Linked DNA regions of Nothobranchius furzeri. The protein of the gene in region 1 binds, or shares a complex with, the protein of each later gene. Links are inferred from orthologs where the notes say so. Each region holds a gene or a part of one and is shown in the gene's direction. Other genes may lie near its edges.

The links. The genes of interacting proteins can lie anywhere in the genome.
Region 2: the proteins of tfdp1a (region 1) and rbl1 are in contact, whole or in part, in a crystal structure (PDB 5TUV), measured with the Homo sapiens proteins. The link is inferred for Nothobranchius furzeri from reciprocal best matches to the Homo sapiens genes TFDP1 and RBL1. Residues at the interface, in NP_009042.1 of Homo sapiens: Pro260, Phe261, Ile262, Thr290, Phe291, Glu292, Ile293, His294, Asp295, Ile297, Glu298; in NP_002886.2 of Homo sapiens: Tyr1004, Phe1006, Asn1007, Ser1011, Leu1014, Ile1017, Asn1018, Ile1021.
Region 3: the proteins of tfdp1a (region 1) and e2f1 are in contact, whole or in part, in a crystal structure (PDB 2AZE), measured with the Homo sapiens proteins. The link is inferred for Nothobranchius furzeri from reciprocal best matches to the Homo sapiens genes TFDP1 and E2F1. Residues at the interface, in NP_009042.1 of Homo sapiens: Glu201, Cys202, Leu205, Glu206, Glu208, Arg209, Arg212, Leu213, Arg215, Ile216, Lys219, Gln220, Gln222, Leu223, Leu226, Ile227, Gln229, Gln230, Phe233, Lys234, Leu236, Val237, Arg239, Asn240, Arg241, Glu244, Pro251, Ser255, Val256, Ile257; in NP_005216.1 of Homo sapiens: Arg202, Leu203, Leu206, Thr207, Asp209, Leu210, Leu213, Gln214, Ser216, Glu217, Leu220, Asp221, Leu223, Met224, Ile226, Cys227, Thr228, Gln230, Leu231, Leu234, Asp239, Ser240, Gln241, Arg242, Leu243, Ala244, Tyr245, Val246, Thr247, Cys248.

The regions. Positions count from the first base shown.
Region 1 is NC_091754.1:25,779,601-25,783,637, forward strand, and holds the start of tfdp1a (transcription factor Dp-1), read left to right. Parts: upstream 1-1,237; 5' UTR 1,238-1,465; intron 1,466-2,721; exon of another isoform or gene 2,722-2,846; intron 2,847-3,127; exon of another isoform or gene 3,128-3,274; intron 3,275-3,596; 5' UTR 3,597-3,669; coding exon 3,670-3,681; intron 3,682-3,945; coding exon 3,946-4,012; intron 4,013-4,037. UniProt on the Homo sapiens protein: Can stimulate E2F-dependent transcription.
Region 2 is NC_091743.1:73,535,661-73,539,680, reverse strand, and holds the start of rbl1 (retinoblastoma-like protein 1), read left to right. Parts: upstream 1-1,211; 5' UTR 1,212-1,334; coding exon 1,335-1,496; intron 1,497-3,734; coding exon 3,735-3,868; intron 3,869-4,020. UniProt on the Homo sapiens protein: Key regulator of entry into cell division. Directly involved in heterochromatin formation by maintaining overall chromatin structure and, in particular, that of constitutive heterochromatin by stabilizing histone methylation.
Region 3 is NC_091755.1:51,396,393-51,400,614, forward strand, and holds the start of e2f1 (transcription factor E2F1), read left to right. Parts: upstream 1-1,413; 5' UTR 1,414-1,528; intron 1,529-1,611; 5' UTR 1,612-2,491; coding exon 2,492-2,743; intron 2,744-3,477; coding exon 3,478-3,577; intron 3,578-4,222. Other genes in the region: znf341 (zinc finger protein 341), read right to left, coding at 397-507, 825-855. UniProt on the Homo sapiens protein: Transcription activator that binds DNA cooperatively with DP proteins through the E2 recognition site, 5'-TTTC[CG]CGC-3' found in the promoter region of a number of genes whose products are involved in cell cycle regulation or in DNA replication.

The DNA.
Region 1 (4,037 bases):
GAAACTGGACCGGATCACAGAGTTGATGTGTGCATCAAATTTAAGTCCAGCATCAATTTTCACCCCCAAACTGGTGACAACTGGTTTTGAGTAGGGAGAAAGAGGGCCAAGATCAACATGACGATCCACATTCCTGCTGTTGGGGTGAAAAACAATGAGCTCTGTCTTTCCCTCATTCAGATGCAGAACGTTGGCCATTAGCCAAGACTCCACCTCGTTAATGCAGGACACAAAGGACTGGATATAGTGACCTTTCTCCTGACACAATGGAGCATCAATCTGGCAATCGTCAGCATAGAGATGGAATGATAGGCCATGTTTACGAAAGATTGACCCCAGAGGAAGCAGATAAATGGCAAACAAAAGAGGACCAAGGATCGATCCCTGCGGGACCCCCCAGCGGAGCCCCTCCCAAGAAGAAAAAACATCACCCAGTTTAACGCAGAATGTTCTGTTGTGGAGATCCAAACCAATCCAGAGCAGACCCTTTGATCCCAACCCATCGTTCCAAGCGATCTAGTAGAATCGCGTGGTCAACTGTGTCGAAGGCTGCCGTCAGGTCTAACAACAGAAGCACCACAGATGTACCCTGATCTAGTGATAGATAGATGTCATTTAGGACCCTCAGTAGAGCCGACTCTGTGCTATGGCCAGACCTGAACCCTGATTGGAAAACCTCAAACAGATCAGCGTCAGCTAAATGTGAGACCAGCTGCTGATAAACGACTTTCTCAAGCAGTTTTGATGTGAAAGGCAGGGTAGAGATAGGCCTGTAATTTTCTATCACATAGACATCAGCATAAGGTTTCTTCAGGGTCGGCCGAATAACTGCTGCTTTCAAAGCAGCTGGGACCACACCTGTGCAGAGGCTCCCATTGATAATCTGACCAAGTGATGGGCCAAGACACGGAAAGGCAGCCTTCCAATTGTATACATTGTATGCAAATGTATTTGTTATTTTTTTAAATCAAATTGTTCTCTTAAGTGTTGGTGCTGCTGTAACAAGTGAATTTCCCTACTGTGGGATTGTTCTATTCTATTCTATTCCATTCTATTCTATTCTATTCTATTCTATTCAGATATATCAGCTGAAATTTGGCATCATTCAGTGTGGTGTGTGGTATTTTTTTCAATCGAATTAAAGAGGAAATAAAAGTGACAGGCCTAAAAACTATTCCTGGTAGATATAATAGCGACTAATGAAAAATCCTCCTCCTACTCCTGCGCAACAGATGGCGGTAAATGCATCCCTGCAGCTGCCTGCTCTCCACCAATCCCAGGAGAAGTAGGTTGTGGGCACGACTCACGTCACTGCTATGGTTACGTCACACCAGTGTTGTCCAATCAGACGCCGCTGTAGCGAGACGCCGCCAAGATCAGATTGTGAGAGGCACTGCTGAAAGCGACAGGCTAGCAGAGAGCCGTGGAAAGGCTAGCTGACGGTGTGCTAACGTGAAGTGCTCTGGTAAGATGCATCCACTGTAGGGTGGCTTCCCACCCGGCGCAGACCAGAGCTCATATACAAGTGTTTAAACGGCCTTTATGTCTTGGTCGACATGAAAAAGTGTTGATATCACACGAAGCTAACAATGGTAAACTTTCTCGATGACAGCTGGTAGTTAGCTTGCTGGCTAGCTAGTGGGCTAACAAAGCGCTGGAGGTTGCGATTTCTCATTGATATCGAGTTAGCTCGTAGCTTTGATAACCAGTTGCTAACTAGCGAAGTGTTGATCATCGATCTACTTAACGATCTTGTCATGGTTTCTATTACCACGGTTATAACTTACTAAACAGAATATGCAACAGGACTTGTTTAAATAGTCCGCAGACATGAAGTTTGAAATATGTAACTCATCTGAATGTAGAAAGAGCTTTCACTTTCTTTTACTGTAACGAATTAAAATAAACAAATTTTATTTGTTTAAGCCACATATTCATTTAAATAAAAATTTAAAGCGTGATTAATTGGCTTGAAACATTTCAATGAAGTTTTTAACTTTTTCAAAAGTGTACTTTTTGCACAAAAAGCTAAAATATCGATTAATTAGATTTGTTTTGTTCTGATTTACTAGGTTGTTGTGACCAAGAGGCCCATGAATGAGATCAAAACTACTGAGAACGTTTAAGAGAATGTGATCAGTTGTAGCAGATAATTGCGGAATCCCAAAATATAAAATTACTTTACATTTGTATAACTTGTTTATTTCCGATTAACATTATATATTAAATTTGCTATTTCAACTGATTCCTTTTGCAGGCCCAGGTCCCTGAATTAATGGTGTCAATATAGTTTTTTATTCACTTCTTTGACTTAATTACTTTAATATGAACTCCTTTTAGAAGAAATGTAGATCAAATCTATGGGCTTGATCCACACATTATGTTGTATGTTTATTAAATTGAAATGTAGTACCTGTTAACATACTGTTGTTTATTTACCATAATATGCAGTTTTAAAATGTTAGGTTTAATTTAACTTGAAAACTGGTTAGTGCATTATATTCATGACAAAAATGTTGTACAGCTCATTTTGCTTGCTTTTGTGATCAGTTTCTCTGATGAGATGAATGATGTTTAATGGTTAGTCAGCTGCCAGACTCGACCAACAGGCAAATCCTGGTATCAGTTTTTGACATAGCGACAAAAAACTGACCTGAGGAAAAACAACTCTTTAATCATATGCTTAAGTTCTTTAAAGGAATAACTTTGATTTATGAATAAAATAGTTTTAAAAGTACATTAGGATTGCTGAGTTTGTTTCCTGTTTGGATGGGATTTAGACCTCCTCTTCCTCCATTCTCTAATGCCAACAACAACAGCCGTCGAAGAGACAAGAGAGTGCACTCGTAAGTGCACGGATTCGCAATTTAAACCCCTCTAATCGTGCAAAACGCGCAGTGCTTTTTTCCAATATCAGTTCTTACTTAAAGAAGGCTATAATCTGCAGCTCGGACCAGAAATCTCTGAATTTTCTGCCAATCGTGTGAAAACGTGCATAAGCTAACTAGCAAGCTAAGGAGCAGCAGGCTGTTAGCAGTAACGGTTAGCCGGCTGTAGTCAACAAAAGATTGTTCATTATTACTGACATGTGGTGTGAAACCTGCTTCTGTGGTGGACTGATTTACTATCTGTAACTATATTTTAATCTCCGTGGAGAAAAATCAACAGTTTCGTCAAAGTTGGCACGTTTTCGTGACCTGTAGCAGAAGTTGGACGATGCCTCTCCTCCGGACGTGATCGGTACCTGAAGTAGGCCTTGTGCACACATAGCTTGGTAAAAGTTGTGGGCATCAAGTGAGGGTTGACTGTGCTTTTTTGTGTTTACATCTAAAGGCTAATGACGCAGCGGTTTGTACAATTAGCTGTAATTTCCGCCAGGTTTGTTTTGCTAACTGAGGAAAAAGTGGAGTAAACATGATGATGGAATTAGCTTAGTGTAGTGTGCTGTGCTCATAGCCAACCATTGAAATGGGCCTGGGTTCATAAATGAGTGCAAAAGCTCATTCAAATCCATCTGTGCCGTGGGGATTTATAGGAAAATGTTATAAATAAGTGAAGCTTGAAACTTTTGCTCACAGCTTTCATTTCTTCTGCAGGGGTCTGAACACTTGAGTGACAGAAGGAACAATTTTTTAATCTGAACTAAACTCCTTCAGGTCCTTTGGGATCATGGCTAAAGATGTGAGTAATTTCCCTCAATATTTTCATCCATATGCACATTATATCTTGTAGCCAGATGAGATGGTTCTTGTTGTTTTAGCATACCTATTATTCTAAACCATCATTAATGTTTGACAATAAACCCAAATTGCAAAATGATCCAATTACCCATTTGGTGTAATTTAAGGAGATATGCACACTTAAGCATCCATTATTGCATCACTACTATCTTATATTATTTTTAATATTCTATATTTGCAGCATAATGAGTTTTGTCTTTTACAGGCTGGTTTGATTGAAACAAATGGAGAGCTGAAGGTTTTCATCGATCAGAATCTGAGCCCTAGCAAAGGTATAACTGAACCATCTTTTGACTT
Region 2 (4,020 bases), on another chromosome or scaffold:
GGGGGTGACTTTCTCTTTAAACTAACTGTAATATTTAAACAATAAATCATTTGAAGTTAGAAATAAAATAGTTTAAAGCTGGTTTTAAGGGTGTGTTTAGTCTTGTAATAATCAAGTCTGGTAACTTTCTACGTATGTTGGGTTTAGCAGAATGCTACTTTAGACCATCGGTTAGAGGTTTGTTTTTATAATGAAGACTATCACAAATTTGGTGGTGTTGCTGTGAACATCCTTTATGCTGTTATTACACTATATTTTTAAAAAGATGTGGTTATGGGTTTGACTTTATTGTCTCTTAATTCATCAATAAACTGAATCTGAGCAAAAATGTTTTGAGTTTGTGTTCATTCATTCTTTTAAATGGACAATGTTCCATTTACTATAAAACAACCAAACATGTCTTATATAAATAATTATTTTACTTTAAATTAAGATAGCTTGTGTTATATTTATGGGTTTTTAGAGGTTTTGCAACCGGTGGATCTGGAGCCACATGATTCTAGAAATGCAAGTGGGGGCCAAACAAAAGCACTTCAAGAGCTACAAATAGCCCCCAACCTGCAAATTGGACATGGAGAGAAAAATAGATATGTTGTTGGTGTTTTTAACAAAGTTTTTTTAACAGTGTTTTGAGCATTGCTGTTTTTTTTTTATTAAACAGCTATTTCATTAACATTTTAGAGTATTAAAGACAATAATTCTTGGCAGGCTCTGCAGTCTGCATCGTTCTAAAAATTGTATTTTATAGGGTATACTACATAATATGTTAACTCATTCCCTTTGTAGACAACAATAGGAATAAGAACACTTAAAAGGTCACCTTGTAACATTCGTTTTATTCTAAGACTCAATCCGATTTTGTGGATTGTATTTTGTAAAAAAAAAATCACTTTTTTAAACCTTTGATTAGATGAGCAGGAATTCTATAATAACAGAACACTGCCCTCTGCACGTTAGTTAACGAATTGCTACCAAATTGTTATTGCATACTTCTTTTCTCGACTTCTCGGCATATTTTGTAATTTTACTTTTTAAAGTTAATTATTTCAGACAGCTGTAACTCCATAAAAAGGTGGTTTTAATTAGGAGCGACCTCCTGAAGGAGACCGAGAGGGGTAGGGCAAGAGGGCGAGAGGGCTTCGCATGTCTTGACTTTGATTGGTCAGAGCAGCAGGGTTTTCGCGCCAACGCACTGCATTGTGGGAACTGTAGGCGGAAGTGGGATGCTCGTGGAGCCTGTTTGTTGGTGTTTGGGAGAGGGCAGCGTTTTGCTGGTTAACGTCTGGCTCTGGGGGTTGTTTAAAACTTGATGCTGTAGCTGTACATTGGAACGAATGCGGGGTGACGAGTCGTCGGACTCCGAGTCGGGCAGGATGGAGGAAAGTTCAGTCCGAAGGAGTTTGGAGACATTGTGTCAGGAGCTGAACATGGACGAACAGACCGCTACTGAAGCTATGGACAACTTCACAGCCATATGGAACACATACACTCTGGAGGTGAATAATGTTCTTTAATAACAAGTTACTGTCGAATTAATCAGCCACAACTTTCATCCTACATAGAACTGGATTTCAGTGCTGACACACACTGAGATTAAAGGGATTCAACAACTGACCTGTTTTTAATCTTCCATCCAGGAACAGAAACATATTGTCGAGCAGTCGATCGACGGCATTTGCAAACGTCAGACAAAACCGGACAAAACAAAACAATTATTTTTAGTTTATGACTGACTGATTATTAACAAATATTAAAATCCTCCTGAAATTACATAAGAATAATAAAAAATAATCAAATTGAAATATTTTTTCCAGGTAAAATATATTTTACCGTAAAACAACTATGACTGTCTTTTATTTGTGGTAAAACCATGGGTAGAACATGGTAGTGACATCTGAGTGAATAATAAATCCGTTTTATTTAAATGGATCGGCTTTATTTAAGGTCTGACCAATAATAACAATGTTTAAGATTTCTTTAGTCTGATAACAAAGCAGCAGATGTTCTTTTTCAATTAATATCAGTTTTATTGTTCATACATACTATTGACATCTTAATTAAAAGCAGTTTCCTTTTAACATCGTATCAGAAATCACTATATAATCCTGATTTTTGTTGTTCACCCTGATTAGTATCAGAATTGTTTGTTTGTTTGTTTTTGCCTTTGAATCCGTGTGACAGGAACATAGACAACTGTAGTGCAGTCAGTTTGAAGCATCGTCTAAAATGACGGGACATCAACAAAAGTTGTGCAGTGTTTGTTAGAAGACTTCTGTCTGAGGGATGGGTGTAAACACTGATTATATCCTCAGGGGTCAAAGGTGATTCACGGAAAGAAACGTTCACACAGAGAGGTGTTACAAGGTTATTTTATTCAAAACGATTCTAATCCTAATCTAGGTACAGATTATGAAAGATTAGTTTGTACCTGACAATTTAACCTCCTACAGCTAATGATGCTAGTTGGCTTTGTTTACATCGTTACCTATTAATAATAATGCATTTTATTTAAAAGCGCCTTTCTGGTCACTCAAGGACACTGTACAGAATAAAAACACAAATCATTCAATAAGTAAACATACGTAAACATCAACAAACAAGGCTCTCTAAAATTCAAAGTTGATATGTGGTAATGAAGAGGTGGGTTTTGAGTTGTTTTTTGAATTCTGTGAATGAGTTAATGTTCTTGATGAGAGGGGGAAGGGAGTTCCAGAGTTTGGGAGTGGTGCCGCTGAAGGCTCTACTCCCCATGGTGCTGATACGGAAGGAGGGCACAGAGAGATGAATGGAGGAGGAGGACCTGAGGGAACGGGACGAGGTGACGATGTGAACGAGATCTGTGAGGTAGTGAGGGGCGAGGTTTTGGATGGCCTTGAAGGTGAGAAGGAGAATCTTGTAGTTAATCCTGGTGTGCACTGGTAGCCAATGGAGTTGTTTGAGGATGGGGGTGATGTGATGAGAGATGGGAGTTTTAGTGACGATGCGTGCTGCTGCGTTCTGGACCAACTGGAGCTTACGGAGGATTTTCTGAGGGAGGCCTGAGAGAAGAGAGTTGCAATAATCGATACGCGATGTAACCAGACTATGGACAAGAATAGAAGTAGAGTGGACATCAAGGGAGGGGCGAAGACGATTAATGTTACGAAGATGGAAATAAGCTGACCGTGTGATGCTATTGATATGAGATTGGAAGGATAGTGTGCTGTCTAGGATGACACCCAGACTCTTGACCTGGGGAGAGGGGGAAACTGAATTAACCTCAAATGATTCAGTTATGCTTTTAAACATAAGGCCTCTAACCAAACAGATGCTCCGTTTATCTTTGAGTTTATCTGTCATTCAGAAATGGTTGCTTCTCTGATTTATTAATGAAAAATATTTGTTTGAGAAATTGACCTTCAAAAATACTAATAGTCTGTCTGTATTATAAAAACATATCTCCAATAGATGATAAAATGCTAGTCGTTAAACTCTTCTGAATTATAAATAATTGGACCATTCAGCTGTCTCATTAATTAAAGATGGCAGAATTTTGCGTGCAAAAATCAAACATAGTAATTAAAATGTGCACATAGGTTTTCAGTCATGTTCCGTGTAGTTCTGTTTGCTGTTTCTGCAGCTATTCTTGTATCTGCTGAGTCGCTCTGTGTACTGGAAATAGTGGAGTATTAGTTTCCCAGTTTGCTGTTTATGCTGAGTGAAGACAATTAAAGTGATTTGCTGTTTGTCTGCAGGGGGATGTGGTCCACTGGCTGGCCTGCTCGCTGTACGCTGCCTGCAGGAAGGGGTCCATTCCCACTGTGGGAAAAGGGCTGATGGAGGGAAACTGTGTCTCGCTCACCAGGATCCTTCGCTGCTCCAAACTCAGGTTCAGCGCTATAAACACATGTTTTGTCTCTACGATCCTTATTCTGGTATCTCTGTGTTCTGGTTTGTTCTTAGGGGTTTCTAGAAAACAAATGCAGTTTTAAATAGGGATGCTCTTATCCGGTCCAAGCTAACGTGTCGCCTCAGGAGAGT
Region 3 (4,222 bases), on another chromosome or scaffold:
TGCTTTAATATCGATTTCCTCTGCTACAAAGACGACATCCAGTTCTACCTTTCCATGCTCCCCTCTGATTTTCTTCCTCATGAAATGGGCATCATCGACCCGTTTCTACTCTTCAATCATTTTTAAAAGCTCATCTTTTAAAAAATCCATTTTGTGTCCAGCTGCATTTTTGTCCCTGCTTTTATTACGTTTTTTTTACCTTTGCTATTTCCCCTTTTTCTTTTATTAAAAAGGAACCTCGAATTGTATTATTATTATTATTATTATTATTATTATTAAAGTGGTTGTTGTCATTATTTTTATTTTAACCAACAGCCAAATGCACCTTGCCCTAAATAAATTATAAAAGAAAGCAATGACAGCCTAACTTATATGCTAGTGCGTCCTACTGCTTACCCATAGACTGAATAGTGGGCGTGGTTGACACATTTTGATTATTTGGGTCAGGAACTCCAGACTGGCCATCAAGCAGAGACTGAACAGCCAACACAGTCTGGTTGTCCATGCCTAGAGAGAGTGAAACAACAGAGGGGGGAGGAAACAATGCACGTGTTTACATTTAAAAGCTCTGCTTGATAATCTAGTAGCACAATAATAATCAACTACCTATTAAACATACGTAGTGTAATTAATCACCGTTATTGTTTACATGTACATACCAACCTAGCAGGGTGGTTTGATTTTTGTAACATTAGTAAACACCTATGCATAGTTTCACAATTATTTCCACATTTTAAAATGGCTCTAAACATGTTTATCTATAAAAAATATTTTCTGACATGTAAACATGTTGGTAGCTATGTAGTTAACAAAAATATTGCTACCTTCAAGCACCTCGAATATTGCCTGCGCCATCTTGCAGATTTCTGAGAGATAGGCGCTCGATTAGCAAGGGCTGCTACCTAAAGGACATTTCTATTCTGTAAATTCGACGAGATTTTTACGAATAATTCGTGTTTGAAAAAATATACTGTTCAATAGAGAGCTGCATAAACTGTTTATAATATGATGTGGACATTCCTGACAGTCTTAAAACAAAATAGCTAAAACATCAAATGTTTTAAATAGCATGCAAAATAAAATACAAGTCACGTAAGGACTTTAATTTGTAAGTTCGGTCACGGCTTTTCAATAACTAATATATGTTATTAAATGTTTAATATGTGACATCAGATCAATGTATCATTGATATGTTGATTTTGATCTAAGCGAAATGATTGTAAACGCTAGTTAGTTGAGGTTCTTCCGTGGAACCTGAACGCATCTTCATATCGACTAGTCTGTGCTCGTCTACATGACGGACACTCATTTACACCAATCAGAAAGCTCCGGTTTCTCTTCGAAGAATGTGCATCTTTTTGGCCAATGGCGAGCGTCAGATTTCCCCACGTGCAACTTTCGCGGCAAAATGGATTTCGCGCGAAAACCGACCAACGCTTGTTTAGATGTAGATCAGCTGGGACAATAACAACAATAACGGCTGATATCGGGCTCGGGTGGACACTTTCATGAGAGAACCGCAGCCCTGGTGAGCAGCTGAAAGTGCATCGGCGGCGGTTTTAAAGCATGCGTTTGTACTTTGACCGTTTTGTTTCGTTTTTTTAATTCCAGTTTTGTCTGACTGCTTCCTGCAGTGCCCCAACAAAACGAGGGGACTGAAGAACTGCGGCTAATGACTAAAGCTAACATGCTAATCTGCCCTACATTTCCACACTCAACATAGTAACTGTTATAAGGTCTTTGTTAGCCAGACGTTTTCATAAATACCCAATCAATGATGCTTTTGAGTCACGGCGATGCCGTTCGACTTCTCTGTATTTTGCTTTGTTAGCTAACTTTGAAAAGCTGATTTAAAGTTTCCGTAGCTTAACCGTTGTCCCAGTTTCGGATGTTTGGTGATTGTGGTAGTTTTACGGCTGGGAACGGCTCGTTCCGCGCCTCCTTCGAGAACTATTCCGAGGCTTTGTTGTTGAGCCATGAGTTAGCCTGCTAGCCGTGTCGGTAGCTGTGTGTTCAGGCCGCGGCCGAACTCTGCTGACAGGAGGCACGAAAACAAAAGATTTGCTCGCTCCGTCGCTGGCGTCCTTATGTTTAGCGTTTATTCAGACCCGCGGCAGGGTCTCGCGACCCTGTTTTAGGTGCTAATCCCGCGTTAGACCCTCATGGCGTAGAGATATTGTGCAATTTAGCAATGATCTGTCATTTTCCTGTTTGGCAGAACATCCAGTTTCTCCGTTCGGTCTGAAGTTGATTTGGCAAGTTCTGTTTATTTATCACTCTTTGAGTTAAACTGTAATAAATGTTTGTCTGTGAGGAAAACAACTTGTTCCAATTTGGGACGTTTGAGCATTTTTTACTCCTGCTCCACGAATTTACAGAGAACTACAAATGTCAGCAGGTGCTGATGTGCTTTTAGAGTACACCATCTTAGCCTGTGACCCCTCCCAGCACACCCAAAGACTAGTGAAGGAGCACTTGGTGACCCAGTGCAATGTCAGAGACTCTGATAACAGGGCAGACATCGGAGGATCTGTTGGTTGACTTTGAGACCTTGCTGAACTCTGGGAGTATAAAACTGGGCGAGGACCATCAGGTAGTCATCATCACCAGCCCCAGCAATGAGGGACTCCACCCTGTTGCAGCCCCGACCAGCACGGGGGAAATCCTGCTGTTCGCCACGCCACAGGGGCCCGCTGACGTGGGGGCCCAGGACAAGAGGCGGCCAGCTCTGGGAAGACCTCCGGTGAGGAGAGTGGGAGTGAGATGAGGTTAAATGAGAAGTTTCATGTCATATTTTGCTTTTTAAGCATTTTCTTCAAGGTGCAACAATAATTTTACTGTGAAATAATCCCATAACAGTCTAACATCTGAGTGGTATTGGAAGAACGGTTACGTTAAAAACAGATTTCCTTCTCAGCCGGCTATGGGGTCGTCAGGTTTCCTAGTTTAACTTAAAAACCAAAGAGGAAGGTAGTCTTTGTTTACAATCTGTCCCAATTCAGTACTTCCTGGTTCCAGAGCCAATCATACGTGCCCGCAGGTTTGCCAAGTCTGCACCGACATTTGTAATTTGACATCGGCCGGCATGATGCTGCGGCGTTGTGGAACAAAATGGAAGTCAGTAAAAAGAGCGACGTTATTTCATGTAACCCCGAAGAAGCCACGGCCTCTTTTTGTTGTGTTCTTAATGCAGAGGCTAACATTGAGCTAACAATGCTAACGGTGGATTACAAGCAAACTTCGATACTACAGCAAAATATATTTATCTACTCGTCAAATTACCGCGTATGACTCGTCTTTGCTCATCATCTAGAATCTTCTGGTGCCGTGCCGTAACTGGCAACAGTGGCTCAGAACAGACTCGTTTGTTTTGATTCACGGACTGCAGTACCCAGATTTGACCACAGGATGTCGTTCTGACTCCGTGCATCTTTAGGTAACACACAAATATAACGTATTCCATGCTTCCATCTTCAGGTAAAGAGGAAGTTGGACCTGGATAGTGACCATCAGTACATCAGCACCACCCAACCTCCCACGGGTCAAGCTCCGCCTTCTACGCCTGCTCCTCCCAGAGGTATGCACCCACAAACGCACTTTTGAGTTTTAGTATAGTGGATTTTTCAAATTTAAGGAACTGTGCTTTTCTTTAGAATGAAAGTAAAGTACAGCGACGACGAGCCTTAAAGGGACTTTACGGACTTGTGAATTTTTATGCTCATGATTGCCCCCTCAGGCCAAAAACGTAACAGCAGCTTTAATAGTAGGCTCGTGCACGAGGCGCGCATGCTGTACGTGCACACTCCTTAACGAAAGTAACAGCTGAGACAGTCCCGTGTGTGTGTGTGTGTGTGTGTGTGTGTGTGTGTGTGTGTGTAGCCCGGAGGACAGAGGACAGGAGAACGCGCAGCTAATTAATTAAATAATTTGGTTCTGTACCTTTCTCTTCAGCACAGCCGACAAAGGTTTAAGATGGGTCAGTCCTCCTGCATGCTCAGATCATTCCCTTCCCTTGCTTGAAAAATTGTTCCAAAATGAAACGTTTTTGGTTTTCTGTGACTTCAAATGCCGTTCGGCGAGTCTCAAATAAAAATTTGGGCATCTTACTGTAAAAAATATACCATTAATGTAAAAAGTAAACTCTAATTATACTATGTTCACATCCAGAATCAAACCCAGATCTTCTGCACGAGAGTCAGACGTCTTACTAGGTGAGCTAAAG